3 linked regions of the Sus scrofa genome follow. The protein of the gene in region 1 binds, or shares a complex with, the protein of each later gene. Links are inferred from orthologs where the notes say so. Each region holds a gene or a part of one and is shown in the gene's direction. Other genes may lie near its edges. The genes, in order: EPS15, AP2A2 and STON2.

What was found.
Region 2: the proteins of EPS15 (region 1) and AP2A2 are in contact, whole or in part, in a crystal structure (PDB 1KYU), measured with the Mus musculus proteins. The link is inferred for Sus scrofa from reciprocal best matches to the Homo sapiens genes EPS15 and AP2A2. Residues at the interface, in NP_031969.1 of Mus musculus: Asp629, Pro630, Phe631, Lys632; in XP_006536218.1 of Mus musculus: Phe442, Phe443, Trp446, Lys447, Asp487, Pro488, Val494, Arg511.
Region 3: the proteins of EPS15 (region 1) and STON2 are in contact, whole or in part, in an NMR structure (PDB 2JXC), measured with the Homo sapiens proteins. The link is inferred for Sus scrofa from reciprocal best matches to the Homo sapiens genes EPS15 and STON2. Residues at the interface, in NP_001972.1 of Homo sapiens: Leu139, Gly148, Lys152, Pro153, Val154, Leu155, Leu156, Asn157, Ser158, Lys159, Val162, Asp163, Leu165, Gly166, Arg167, Trp169, Glu170, His176, Gly178, Met189, Val192, Tyr193, Leu196, Glu197, Lys198; in NP_001353779.1 of Homo sapiens: Trp309, Arg310, Ala311, Thr312, Asn313, Pro314, Phe315, Glu318, Gln321, Asp322, Gln324, Pro325, Ser326, Ile328, Asn329, Pro330, Phe331, Phe334, Phe335, Glu337, Gln338, Glu339, Arg340.

Annotation. Positions count from the first base shown.
Region 1 is NC_010448.4:160,786,286-160,789,930, forward strand, and holds part of EPS15 (epidermal growth factor receptor substrate 15), read left to right. Parts: intron 1-1,120; coding exon 1,121-1,311; intron 1,312-3,623; coding exon 3,624-3,645. UniProt on the Homo sapiens protein: Involved in cell growth regulation. May be involved in the regulation of mitogenic signals and control of cell proliferation. Involved in the internalization of ligand-inducible receptors of the receptor tyrosine kinase (RTK) type, in particular EGFR.
Region 2 is NC_010444.4:625,132-628,667, forward strand, and holds the end of AP2A2 (AP-2 complex subunit alpha-2), read left to right. Parts: intron 1-1,536; coding exon 1,537-1,653; intron 1,654-1,736; coding exon 1,737-1,806; intron 1,807-1,897; coding exon 1,898-2,032; intron 2,033-2,590; coding exon 2,591-2,668; 3' UTR 2,669-2,967; downstream 2,968-3,536. UniProt on the Homo sapiens protein: Component of the adaptor protein complex 2 (AP-2). Adaptor protein complexes function in protein transport via transport vesicles in different membrane traffic pathways.
Region 3 is NC_010449.5:104,186,854-104,190,943, reverse strand, and holds the start of STON2 (stonin-2), read left to right. Parts: upstream 1-1,208; 5' UTR 1,209-1,375; intron 1,376-4,090. UniProt on the Homo sapiens protein: Adapter protein involved in endocytic machinery. Involved in the synaptic vesicle recycling. May facilitate clathrin-coated vesicle uncoating.

The DNA of each region.
Region 1 (3,645 bases):
AGGATCCACCATTGCCGTGAACTGTGGTGTAGGTTGCAGACAGCAGCTCAGATCTGGCATCGCTGCGCCTCTGGCGTAGGCCAGCGGCTACAGATCCGATTAGACTCCTAGCCTGGGAACCTCCATGTGCCACGGGAAGTGGCCCTAGAAAAGGCAAAGAGAAAAAAAGAAGGGAAAAAAAAAAGATTTGAGTATATCTTAACACCTTTTCTTACTATCCTTTCTTCAGAAGTACTAAGTTTAAGTCTTTAAAATTAGAAACGTTGTTTGAAAATGGTGATGAATTCATGAGCAACAGTATGTTGTTGTTTGGTCAAAGATTAGTTTATCGACAACTACCAAGATTTAGGCCCTGGGCTTCCAAACATTCTCTTTATTCTTCAGTATGATTGCTTCTCAGCCTTTTGGCTAAGATCAAGTGTATTCTTCAGTTTGAAATATTCTAGATAGCAAGAAGTAGGTGTATTTTGCCAGGGTGGTTTTTAATATCATGCTCCCAAGTGTTGCATATAGATCCAGAGAAAAATCAGAAGAATAGTGGCATTTTTTAAAAAGATCATTTGGCCTTAGTACCACTAAAGGATACCTGTGTCAGGCAAAGGTTGTAATGGCAGAGGCCATTTCTGTCATTATTCTCTGTCATTTTCCTCTTGTTTTATCCTCTCCTCTCACTCTCCTTGGGAACATGCTACTTTGTGAACGAGAAGGATAACTCTCTGGGCAAGTAAGATTACTGGCCCATTGCCTCCCCCTTTACTATTTTTTCCATTTAGCTACATGAGCTGGAAAGAATGTACCAGGTTGTCTGTGACAATTTTGAGGACAGACTCTTGGTTGTGGCCATTTAAGACCATATTAAGAATATGTTTCAGGGAGTTCCCTGGTAGCCTAGTGATTAAGGACTTGGCATTGTCACTGCCGTGGCTTGGGTTCAGTCCCTGGCTCCAGAACGTCTACATGCCACAGGTGCAGCCAAAAAAAAAAAAAAAAAGTTTTTTAGTTATTAGGTACTGATTCCATTCCCCACCCCTAGTTCTTTAATGCTCCCTGTGTTCATGTTCTTGTGTGTTTGTGTTTGCCGTATTTTCCGGTTGAGTTAATTGTAATGATTTTGATCCAGGGAAAAGACCCATCAACAAATTGGATTCTTCTGATTCCTTTAAACTGAATGATCCATTTCAGCCTTTCCCAGGCAATGATAGCCCCAAAGAAAAAGATCCTGATATGTTTTGCGATCCATTCACTGCTTCTCCTACTACTGGCACTACCAATAAAGAGGCTGACCCAAGCAATTTTGCTAACTTCAGTGCTGTAAGTACTGCAAATGGGCTGATTGGGGAAAAATCTTTCCATTTTCAGTTCGAAGAGTTTTCAGAGATTATTCTGGAATCTACCAAATTTGCATTATTTCAGCTAAATTTACCAGCATATTAAAAATAATCTGTATTCTTCCCCCAATCAAAAAAAAAAAAAACCTGTTTGATTATTCTAAAAATACTTCTCTGCACAAATGATTTTAATAGTCTTAATTCCTGGAATATATTCCAGTTATTTTATAAAACCCTTCTCTTAGTCTTGGTAAACAATATAAATAAAATTCTGACAATTACCATTTAGCAAATTATTATGGATAATGAACCATTAAAGAGTCATTTGCTGTATGCCCTCTGGATGCATAATAGCAATAATGAGTTTGTGTATTTGTAACCATGTATGTGTGTTTATGTGTGAAGCCTTGATGATTTGTGGAAACCAGTCAGCAGCTTTTATTATATGAGGAGATAGGACCAGGAATACTTTGAACAGAAAGTAAAATTCTGGTTTCATGTAATAGTGTTTTTAAAAAGTAAATGTTGGTTTTATTTAAATAAATATGATAGTCAAGGTCTAAACAGTCTTTTATTTGAAGGGCACTTACTTACTAGCCTTCCGTATTTATTCTTCATCCTCCCAGAGCTGACTAAAATAGGCAGACCAGTAAAAATAATGAAAGGATGCTCTGATAAGGGCATAGGCCTCTAAGATCACAGAAATGGGGGAACCAACTGTGGTGTCAGTCCGTATTAAGCAATGACCTGTATTCCATCACTGTTTAGATTAAAAAACAAAATTTTTTCTTTTTAATACTATTCTTAGAGTAACTTTCACTTTCCCAGATGTTTTTCAGGGAAAATAACCTTCATTATCACTCTCTATAACAAAGCCATTTTCCTCTGCTTAACACCTTAAGCCCTTGAGATGATTTTGGAAATAAGAGATCTCAAGGCCAGGTGACTCTTGACCACAGTCTGCCTAATGCCTCCCCCTTCGCAGCATTGGGTCACCCAACCTGCAACCATTTCTAGTTAGAAAGGAGGTAGGCAGGAATCTGCATGCAGCTAAGGCAGACAGAACTAGGCTGGACTATCCAGCTTTTGAATCTGAACTCTTAAGTTTCAGTGGCTTCTTTTGAACATGAAGGAACAGGCTAGGAATCAGTATTTTGACTATTGGAAAATGAAGTGTTGGAATTATAATGATTTAACATTTGTTAGATGGAATTTAAATTGTTATAAGCAGAGTATCCAGAATTGCTACTCTTAGTATAATCCTCTTAAAAAAAAAAAAAAAACCTTCTGGTATTTGTGTGATATTAATATCTTAACTATTAAATATGGTTGGAATGAGTCTTGAATAATAGCTAAGGCATTTTGCTTATTTCATACTCCAGAATCTCAATGTAGTATAGCATTAAGCAGCTCATAATAAAGTATCTTCATTTTTTCATTATGAAAGATTTGTTAAGTGTTATAAGTTTCATAGGCCATCTAATGCCCTAGAATTAGGGAATGGTAACTAGGGAAAAAGCTACCATTTTCAAAAAGCCTGACAGTTTCTTTCATTTCATTTTATAGTACTAATGCTATTACAGTTTTCTTTTATCTGAGAGGACTTGAAACCAAGTAGCATTTAAGTTAGAATCTGCCATGATTGCTGTTTTGGATGAATAAAAATATTTCCTTGACCTAATAATTATCAGCATTATGATTTTATTTAGACGGGGTCAAAGAGTTTTCAATAGCCAGCCAAAATCTTTATAATACATTTTTTAAGATGATTAGATCCACATCTTGTTTAGTATACGTAGTCCTCTTATTTTGCATATAGCAAAATTTATGTATAGCATATTCTTTGCTTCATAGTTTTTTGTACCTGAAGGGCTGGGGTGAGGTAGGAAATCACCAGTGGGATTAAGTTGAAGATGATTTATCATGTGAAGATGCTCGCCGAAGTGGAAATAGTAACTATTTTATGTCAGATTAAAATGGCAGCCCTCTCCTCTTTTTAAATCTCCTAATCCACCTTAAGAACGTCTATGTTTTAAAATGATGTTTTAATATTTAGTTTTATAGACTCACTGTCTGTAGACTGCATTAATTTTTAAAATTAAATCATATTTTAGTAACTAATTAAACATGTTTCCAGAAAAAAAAAATTAGCAAGTAGCAAGACTATTTCCAGAGTCCTTTAGGTGAAACAAGGAGTTAAGTGTCCTTTTGTGAAGCCTCTTTTTCCTTCTTTTCTTTGTATTTGTACCACTCATGAAGCTGTTCATTTGTTTGTTCATTTGACTTAAATGGCAGTACCCCTCTGAAGAAGATATGA
Region 2 (3,536 bases), on another chromosome or scaffold:
TGGTCGGCGGGGGCTGCAGGGAGCCTGTGGGGGCGGGGGCGAGAGGGCGCCTAGGGTCCGGGGCGCCTCCTTCCAGGCCCAGTGCTTCCAGGTGAGACACCGAGGGGCCCACCCTGCGGGGCCGGGGGCTGGGGCAGGCGCAGGCCCGTGGGCAGCGGCCGGTCGGCTGCCCCGGGGCCAGCGCCTTGTCTGCGCACGCCTACGTGGTTGCCCTTCAAGCCTGCATGCTGTTTAGATGATTTTTTTTTTTTTGTCTTTTTGCCATTTTTAGGGCCGCTCCCGTGGCATATGGAGGTTCCCAGGCTAGGAGTTGAATCGGAGCTGTAGCTGCCGGCCTACGCCAGAGCCACAGCAACGCGGGATCCGAGCCGCGTCTGCGACCTACACCACAGCTCACAGCTTATGGCCACGCCGGATCCTTAACCCACTGAGCGAGGGCAGGGACCGAACCTGTAACCTCATGGTTCCTGGTCGGATTCGTTAACCACTGCGCCACGACGGGAACTCCTAGATGATTTTTTGTAGCTTGTCTGGTCCTGTCCTTTTTCTTTCTTGTTCTTTTTAGAGCCGCACCCACGGCACATGGAGGTTCCCAGGCTAGGGGTCCGATTGGAGCTGCGACTGCCGGCCTGCGCCACAGCCACAGCAACACGGGATCTGAGCCTCATCTGTGACATGCACCTCAGCTTCCGGCCACGCCGGATCCTTAACCCACTGAGTGAGGCCAGGGATCGAAGCTGCATACTGAGGGAGACAGCATCAGGTTCTTAACCCCTGAGCCACAACGGGAGCTCCGTGTTCTTGTCATGTAAGTGACGGCAGGAGAGTGTGTGAACAGCCTTCCCAGTTGGACGTTTGTAAGGTTTTGTGGGAAAGCATGTTCTCAAGCGTTACTACATAGCGACCTGAAGTTCACGCCCTAAACGCACAGCAATGAGAAGCTAGTGTGCTTGGCATAGTTCAGGGGACGAGGCGGGTGAGGCCTGTGTTTTATCCTGTAGTCTTACTCTTTTCTTATTTATTTTATTTTTTTTTGTCTTTTTGCGTTTTCTTGGGCCGCTCCCGCGGCATATGGAGGCTCCCAGGCTAGGGGTTGAATTGGAGCCATAGCCGTTGGCCTACACCAGAGCCACAGCCACACGGGATCCGAGCTGCGTCTGTGACCTGTACCACAGCTCACGGCAACGCTGCAGACTTAACCCACTGAGCAAGGCCAGGGATCGAACCCGCAACCTCATGGTTCCTAGTCGGGTTCGTTAACCACTGCGCCACGACGGGAACTCCTCAGACTCTTTTCTTGAGTCTTTTCCTGGGAAGAAGAAACCCACACCGCTTCAGCCGACGAGGAGCTGCCGGGTGTGCGCTGCCGGGGACGGGGAAGAGGTGGCGCTGTCCGCGGTCGGCGGGACGTCCCCGGGGCTCGGGGCGCCCTCCCAGAGCTCTCGGCCCTTGGTGCCCTGGGGGGGGGTGGGCGCTGCGGCCTGGAGGCTCCTGCGGCCACCTGCTCTCTGCATCTTGTCTCTTCGCTGCTCGCAGGTACGGGGGAACCTTTCAGAACGTGTCCGTTAAGCTGCCAATCACACTCAACAAATTTTTCCAGCCCACAGAGATGGCTTCTCAGGATTTCTTCCAACGTTGGAAGCAGCTGAGCAGGTGAGCGGCCGGCCCGTCCCCGGGCGGGTGGGGGGCCTCTGGGTCTCGGCCTCAGCTGGCGGCGCGGCCTCTGTCCCTCGCAGTCCCCAGCAGGAGGTGCAGAGCATCTTCCGAGCGAAGCACCCGATGGACACGGAGGTCACCAAAGCCAAGGTAGCGCCTCGCTGCGGACGGGCGGGGTCGGGCCCGGCCGGGGCCCTGCGGCTGCCGCCAGCTCCCCTCTGACCCTCAACTCTGCGCACAGATTATTGGCTTTGGCTCTGCACTCCTGGAGGACGTGGATCCGAACCCTGCAAACTTTGTGGGTGCAGGCATCATACACACCAAAACCAGCCAGATTGGGTGCCTGCTGCGTTTGGAGCCAAATCTGCAAGCCCAGGTTAAGCCCCTTGAGGAAACTGCTAAGTACACCCCAGTCGTTGTGCTTTGTTGTTGTTTTGGTTTGGGTTTTTTTGGTCTTTTTAGGGCCACAGCTGCGGCATCTGGAGGTCCCCAGGCGAGGGGTCGCATCGGAGCTACAGCTGCCGGCCTCCACCACAGCCACAACCACGCCAGGTCCGAGCCGCGTCTGTGACAACACCACAGCTCACGGCAACGCCGGGTCCTTAGCGCCCTGGGCGAGGCTAGGCATTGAACCCATGTCCTCCTGGATCCTAGTCGGGCTCGTTACCCCTGAGCCACGATGAGAACTCTGGATGCGTGTGGTCGTTTCACGGGAAGCCGCTGCGTTGCTTCCCAGCCAGGGCGCTGCCGCACAGCCCACCAGGCGTACGCGGAGGTCGGGTTGGTACACATGTGCCCAGGCCCTTGTTGTCCAGCCTGTAAACCAGCTCCCCAAAGCCAGCGTGGTGCCGCGTGGAACCAGGGCGTCTTCAGGCTGGCTGAGCAGGGGCTCTGAGGGCTCTGTTGCCCTGACCCGCCGTGCCCTCTGTTTCAGATGTACCGACTCACGCTGAGGACGAGCAGAGAGACGGTCTCGCAGAGGCTGTGCGAACTGCTCTCAGAACAGTTTTAATCAGCGAGGACAGAGGGTCGGGCCGGCTCTGCATTTTTCTTTGTCTCCACCCCGTCTTCGTGCTGCGAGTAAACACCTCGTCTAGTGTCGCAGCCCAGGCCCTCCCCGCTGCCGCGGCCCGTCCCCGACGGGGCGGGTGGGATCCTGTGCGGTTGACGAAGAGACCCCTCGGCCTGGACTCAGCCGGCTGCCAGCCAGGACGAGGGGCACGGATCCTGGGGTGGACTTTGATGGAAATCAGGACAGTTCTGGGGTTAAATCTACAAATTAAAGGGAAATTAGAAGTTTGAAAATGAGAATTTTGGAAGTTTTATTGAGGTGCTGCTGCTGTCCTGCTGAGAATTCATCTCTGAAGCCCTGAGCAGAGAGGCGGGCGCTCTGTCTGTGCTGGGCGGCGCCCGCCGGGTGTGGGAGACGTGGGAGAAGGGGCGGGGCTGCCGGGTCCACGTGCGGCCCAGGCCTTGTCCTCCGGGCTCTGGGGGTGAGCACAGTGCCGGGGCCTTGGGGGCCGAGGTCTGAACCCAGGCGTTCGCCCCACGCGCGTCTTCGAGGGCTGTCGAGGAGAGCGTGTGGCCTGGCTGGGTGGGACCCCGCCTCCTTTTCCCAGCACCCGCCCCCTAGAGGGGGGTTGTGCAACCGTCCGAGCCCCTTCATGTGCAGTGGGGAGGGGTCCTGGTGGCTCCAGACCACGTGTGTACCTAACCTCACGCTTCTCTGAGTCTCAGGCCCAGGACGGGCGCCGGTTAGTGACGGCGGGGCTCGCCGTGGGCCAGCGGAGCGGCTCCTCAAGCCGAGCCGGTCTCTTCCCTGTGCAGCGGCCTCACATGTGGGAGTCCCCGCTGCAGGCTGCGGAGCTGTGGACCTCGGC
Region 3 (4,090 bases), on another chromosome or scaffold:
GGTCTTTTAACTTCTCTACCAAACTAAATTTCTCACTCATGGTTCTGTCAACAAAGGACAGTAGAACTAGGGGGAAACACCTGTAGGAACCCGGTTGCATACTTGCTGTCAAGAAGACATTACTGCAACCTAAGTCAAAGGTCCTAAAATAGAATCTGTACTGTTTTTTTCCTACTCATTGTCTGGATTTTTTTTGGGGGGGGGTCTTTTTATGAGTGGTAGAACAAAGTCCTAGGGGCATCCTAATTTATGGTGCTTGCTTTTATTCCTTAGAAAGATTCCGTGCAGGTGAGAGAAAATGTTGGGAGGCCTAAAGACTATGAAATGGAAGAAGAAATGGAAGATGGGATCAATTTTAATTCCCCACAATCCCTCTCCATTCTAACCTGTGCCCCTCCTTCACAATGTGAAGAGACTGAGTGTGTCTTCCAGGAGAAAATCTCCATATTCAGAGCTGACACCACGCGTCCACACGGGACACGTGGGTATCCTTATGACAGCTGTTTCCTGTGTTCCCGAATTAATACATGCAAAGTACTTGGAAAACTGGTAAATATTACGCGCCATGAAAACATTAGGGTTATTAATATTGTTGTTATTCAGCCTTATCTCCCTAGTTAGGCATAAATTCCTCATAAAACAACACTTGCCGTCTTTCTCGTTCTTAATAATTTATTAACGTGATTAGGACTTTGGATAAGTCGCTTACCCTTTGCAAGTTTTGGTTGGACCACAAAAGATCGTGTGTCAAGTACTATCTGAGTCTACAAATACAATTTGGCGCCCACTGTTTACAAGCCACTGCCCTGTGTCCTACGCCCTTTTTATAGTAAAAATATTAAATGAACGTGAAGTCAAAACCCTACGTAGGAGTGAGACGGGAGAAGCAATGATTTCCACGATCCAGCTTGGCACCGGGTGTGGGAGAGACTCCCAGACGATCCCCACTCCCTGCCATTGCCGTGCTACTCGCAGCGACGCTTTGCGCCCCGCTGGGTGCTGGACTCCACTCGCGCGGAGGAGCAGATCCCGGTCTCAGCGTCTGGATTCCGACCTCGGGGTTCAGCAGGGACACGAGGGTGCGGTGCAGGGTTGTCCAGAGCAGGTCCTGTCGGCTCCCGCCCCGCCTCACCGCCCAGGCTTCCTGCTGCCCAATCAGGGCGCGGCTCGGGCGTGATCTGCGACCAATCAGGAACGGCTGGAACGGTGCCGGGAGTCCGCGGGCGCAGAGCAAGCTCCGACTCCCGAGCCGGCGCGGGGCTGCCAGGAGCGCGGCTACAGCAGCGCAGCGGACGGGGAGCCTCGGACCAGCCCAGCTCGCTCTGCCGCGGCGACCTTCCAGCCGACGCTCGGGAAACAGCGGGCCGCGTCTCAGGTAACCTCGCCGGCGCCCCACAGGGGGAGGGCGAGCGTGCCCTGGGAGCGGGGCCCCGCAGGTGGAGCGGGCGGGGGTCGGGCCGGCCGCTAGGTCCTAGCGCCGCGGGTGCTGCCAGAGCCCCCAGAGCCCCGGGGCTAGCCTCGGCCGGAGCCCCCGGGAGACGCGTTTCCACCAGCCCCCGGCGTCCGGGTGTGAGAGGGAGCTAGGTGAGGCGGCGGGGGTGGATTGGGGAAGACAAGACACCTGCGACACCCGCACCCTTACACAGACTCTGCCTATGGGTGTCTTCCCTGAGAGCTGGGTCCCCGGCCGTCTTCATTGGCCCAAGTAGGGAGGCGACAACAGGTGTCCCTGCGGACCGTGCTTTTCTCCTCCACGCTCTGAGCCTGAAATCCCGGCTTTGGCGTTCTGCCCCACCTTCGGGGTGTTCGGAGACAGGACCCCAGCCTCGCCTCTCAGGCGCGCTGCCCGCTGGACAGCGCCCAGAGGCGTCTTGGACCCAGCGGACCCGGGCTTTGGATGGAGTTTCCTCCTCGCGTTGCCAAGCAATTTGCAGGACACCCGCCTCTCGATGAGACCATGAGAGTTTGTGTGGGGGCTGGGGGGTGGGGATGTGTGTAGGGGTGTGTGTGTGTGTGTGTGTGTGTGTTGCAGCCTCCACTAAAAGGGCTGTGAGTGAATCATTAACTGTGGCCTCTGCCTGTCTCTTAGGCAGGGCCTGACTCTTCTAATCTGTAAAGTGAGGGCAATGCTTTTACCTGCCTGATAGCGTTGTTTTGAGAATTAAATGAGCCAATGCTGAAAAACACTGAGGACGGTGCTAAATACTCAGTAAATGCTGGCTCTTACTATTTATTCTTCGGAGTGGATGGTCTTTTAAGAAGACATGTCCAAACTGGACCAGTGACTGTTTGGAGCTCTGAACAGCTTTTTACACTTAAAGCAATATTAATGTTACTGGGCGGTATCATTTAAAGGTACAAAATCCTGGGGATTTTGAGGGATTAAAAAAAAAAAAACTGCTTCATTGGAATGGTGAGAGAGATAAATGGATTCCAATAGAAACTGAGAAAACTCTGTAGCCCTTGAGAAAATTGGTATGAATATTATGTAAAAAGTATATCATGGTGCTTTATTGAATCTCACTAGTGTGGCTGATTTGGGGGTAAATTTTGAAGGTTCTTATAACTCCTACTCCTCCCTTAAACAAGTAGAGAGTGGAGAACAAGGGAGAGAGAGAGAGAAAGAAGAAAAACAAAAAGTCCCACCACAAAACAAAATACAGGCAGCTCATAGAAACCTAAAATTGCAGTTGCCACTTCAGGTGATTTTTTTTCCTGTTTCTGACCCGGGTGGTCTGGTTCAGTTCTTTGTCACCGTGTCACTTAATTGAAGAGTTAAGTAAACGCTTAGCCCCAAGAATTTGTCTTTTGAAAATCTAGAATATCATTAAGTATCAGACTTGCTTGGATTTCTGAGCCCTCTGCTACTTGCTTCCTACCCCCTATCAAGCCCCAAAGGACCTTCCCAAAGATTCTCAAGAGTAATGTTAGTGGGGAACCACCTGTCTCCCACCACATTACCTCCATAGCCTGGGACCTGGGGAAAGGGCACAGGCAGAATGTCCTGGTTCTCCTAGGGTCTCCAGCACACTTGCCAGAGCCTTAAAATAAATACTTGCCCTTAGAGAAAGTGATTATCATCTCAGAGGGAAAGAAGCGCACTTCCAGATGCAAATCTTTCAAGTGTCAAATTAATTCGCCAGCCCTTTCAGTTGTTGATAAGGAGACCTACTCTTTCCACCTGAGTGGGAGGAGCTGAAGCTTGACGGTGGAGGAGGGAGAGAGCCACGTGTGGCAGGGGAAAGACTGCTGAGTTCAGAGCCAGACCCGCACCTGGTGAGAACTCTCTCTCAGTAACTGATGGCTGGGAAACTTGGACAAGTTGCTTTGCTTTTCTGAGCCAGAGTCTCTCACGTTGTAAAATGAGGACTCAGATTTTTTTTGGAGAAGTTGTTCCAAGGAGGGCGCTAATGGATAGGAAGGCTCTAGCACCTTTCCAAGGATGTAGGTATAGATCTGTAGCATACAGAGGAGGTCTTACAAGGTGAGAGTGACCACTTACACCTGGGAAAGAAAGTAGGGCTTGACGGAGGGCATGCAGCTGAGCTGAGAGTAGAATGATGAGCAGTTCTCTCATGTAGACCCAGTTGAGGTGGGATTGGAAGGAAGAGTAGAGCAGAGGGGGGAGAATTCCAAACAGAGAGAATATGAGATATCAGAAGTGTTGTAATAGTCATCTTAAGCAAAATAAACAGACATCCCTTAAATCTCAGTGGCTTTCAACCACCAAGAGTTATTTCTCACACATGCTGCATGTCCAGTGTAGGTCACTCTTGGTTCTGCTTATCTGACTCCATTTGGGGACCCATTATGGCTTAAGAAACAGCCTCTTTCTGGGACAATATTCATCTTGTTTATGGGAAAGGGAAAAAAGAGAACATAACAGAACAAAACTATTATGGCACTTAACATCTGCTTGGAACTGGCAGATGTCACTAGCTCTCATGTTTTTGGCCAAGGTGAGTCATGTGGCCAAAGCTGATGTCAGCGGTATGGGAAAGTATAAGCCTCCTGCAGAAGTGAGGCATGGCTGATTAGGAGGGAAAGTGCAGATGAAAACAAGGCCAGGGAGGTGTCCCAGAGGCAGATG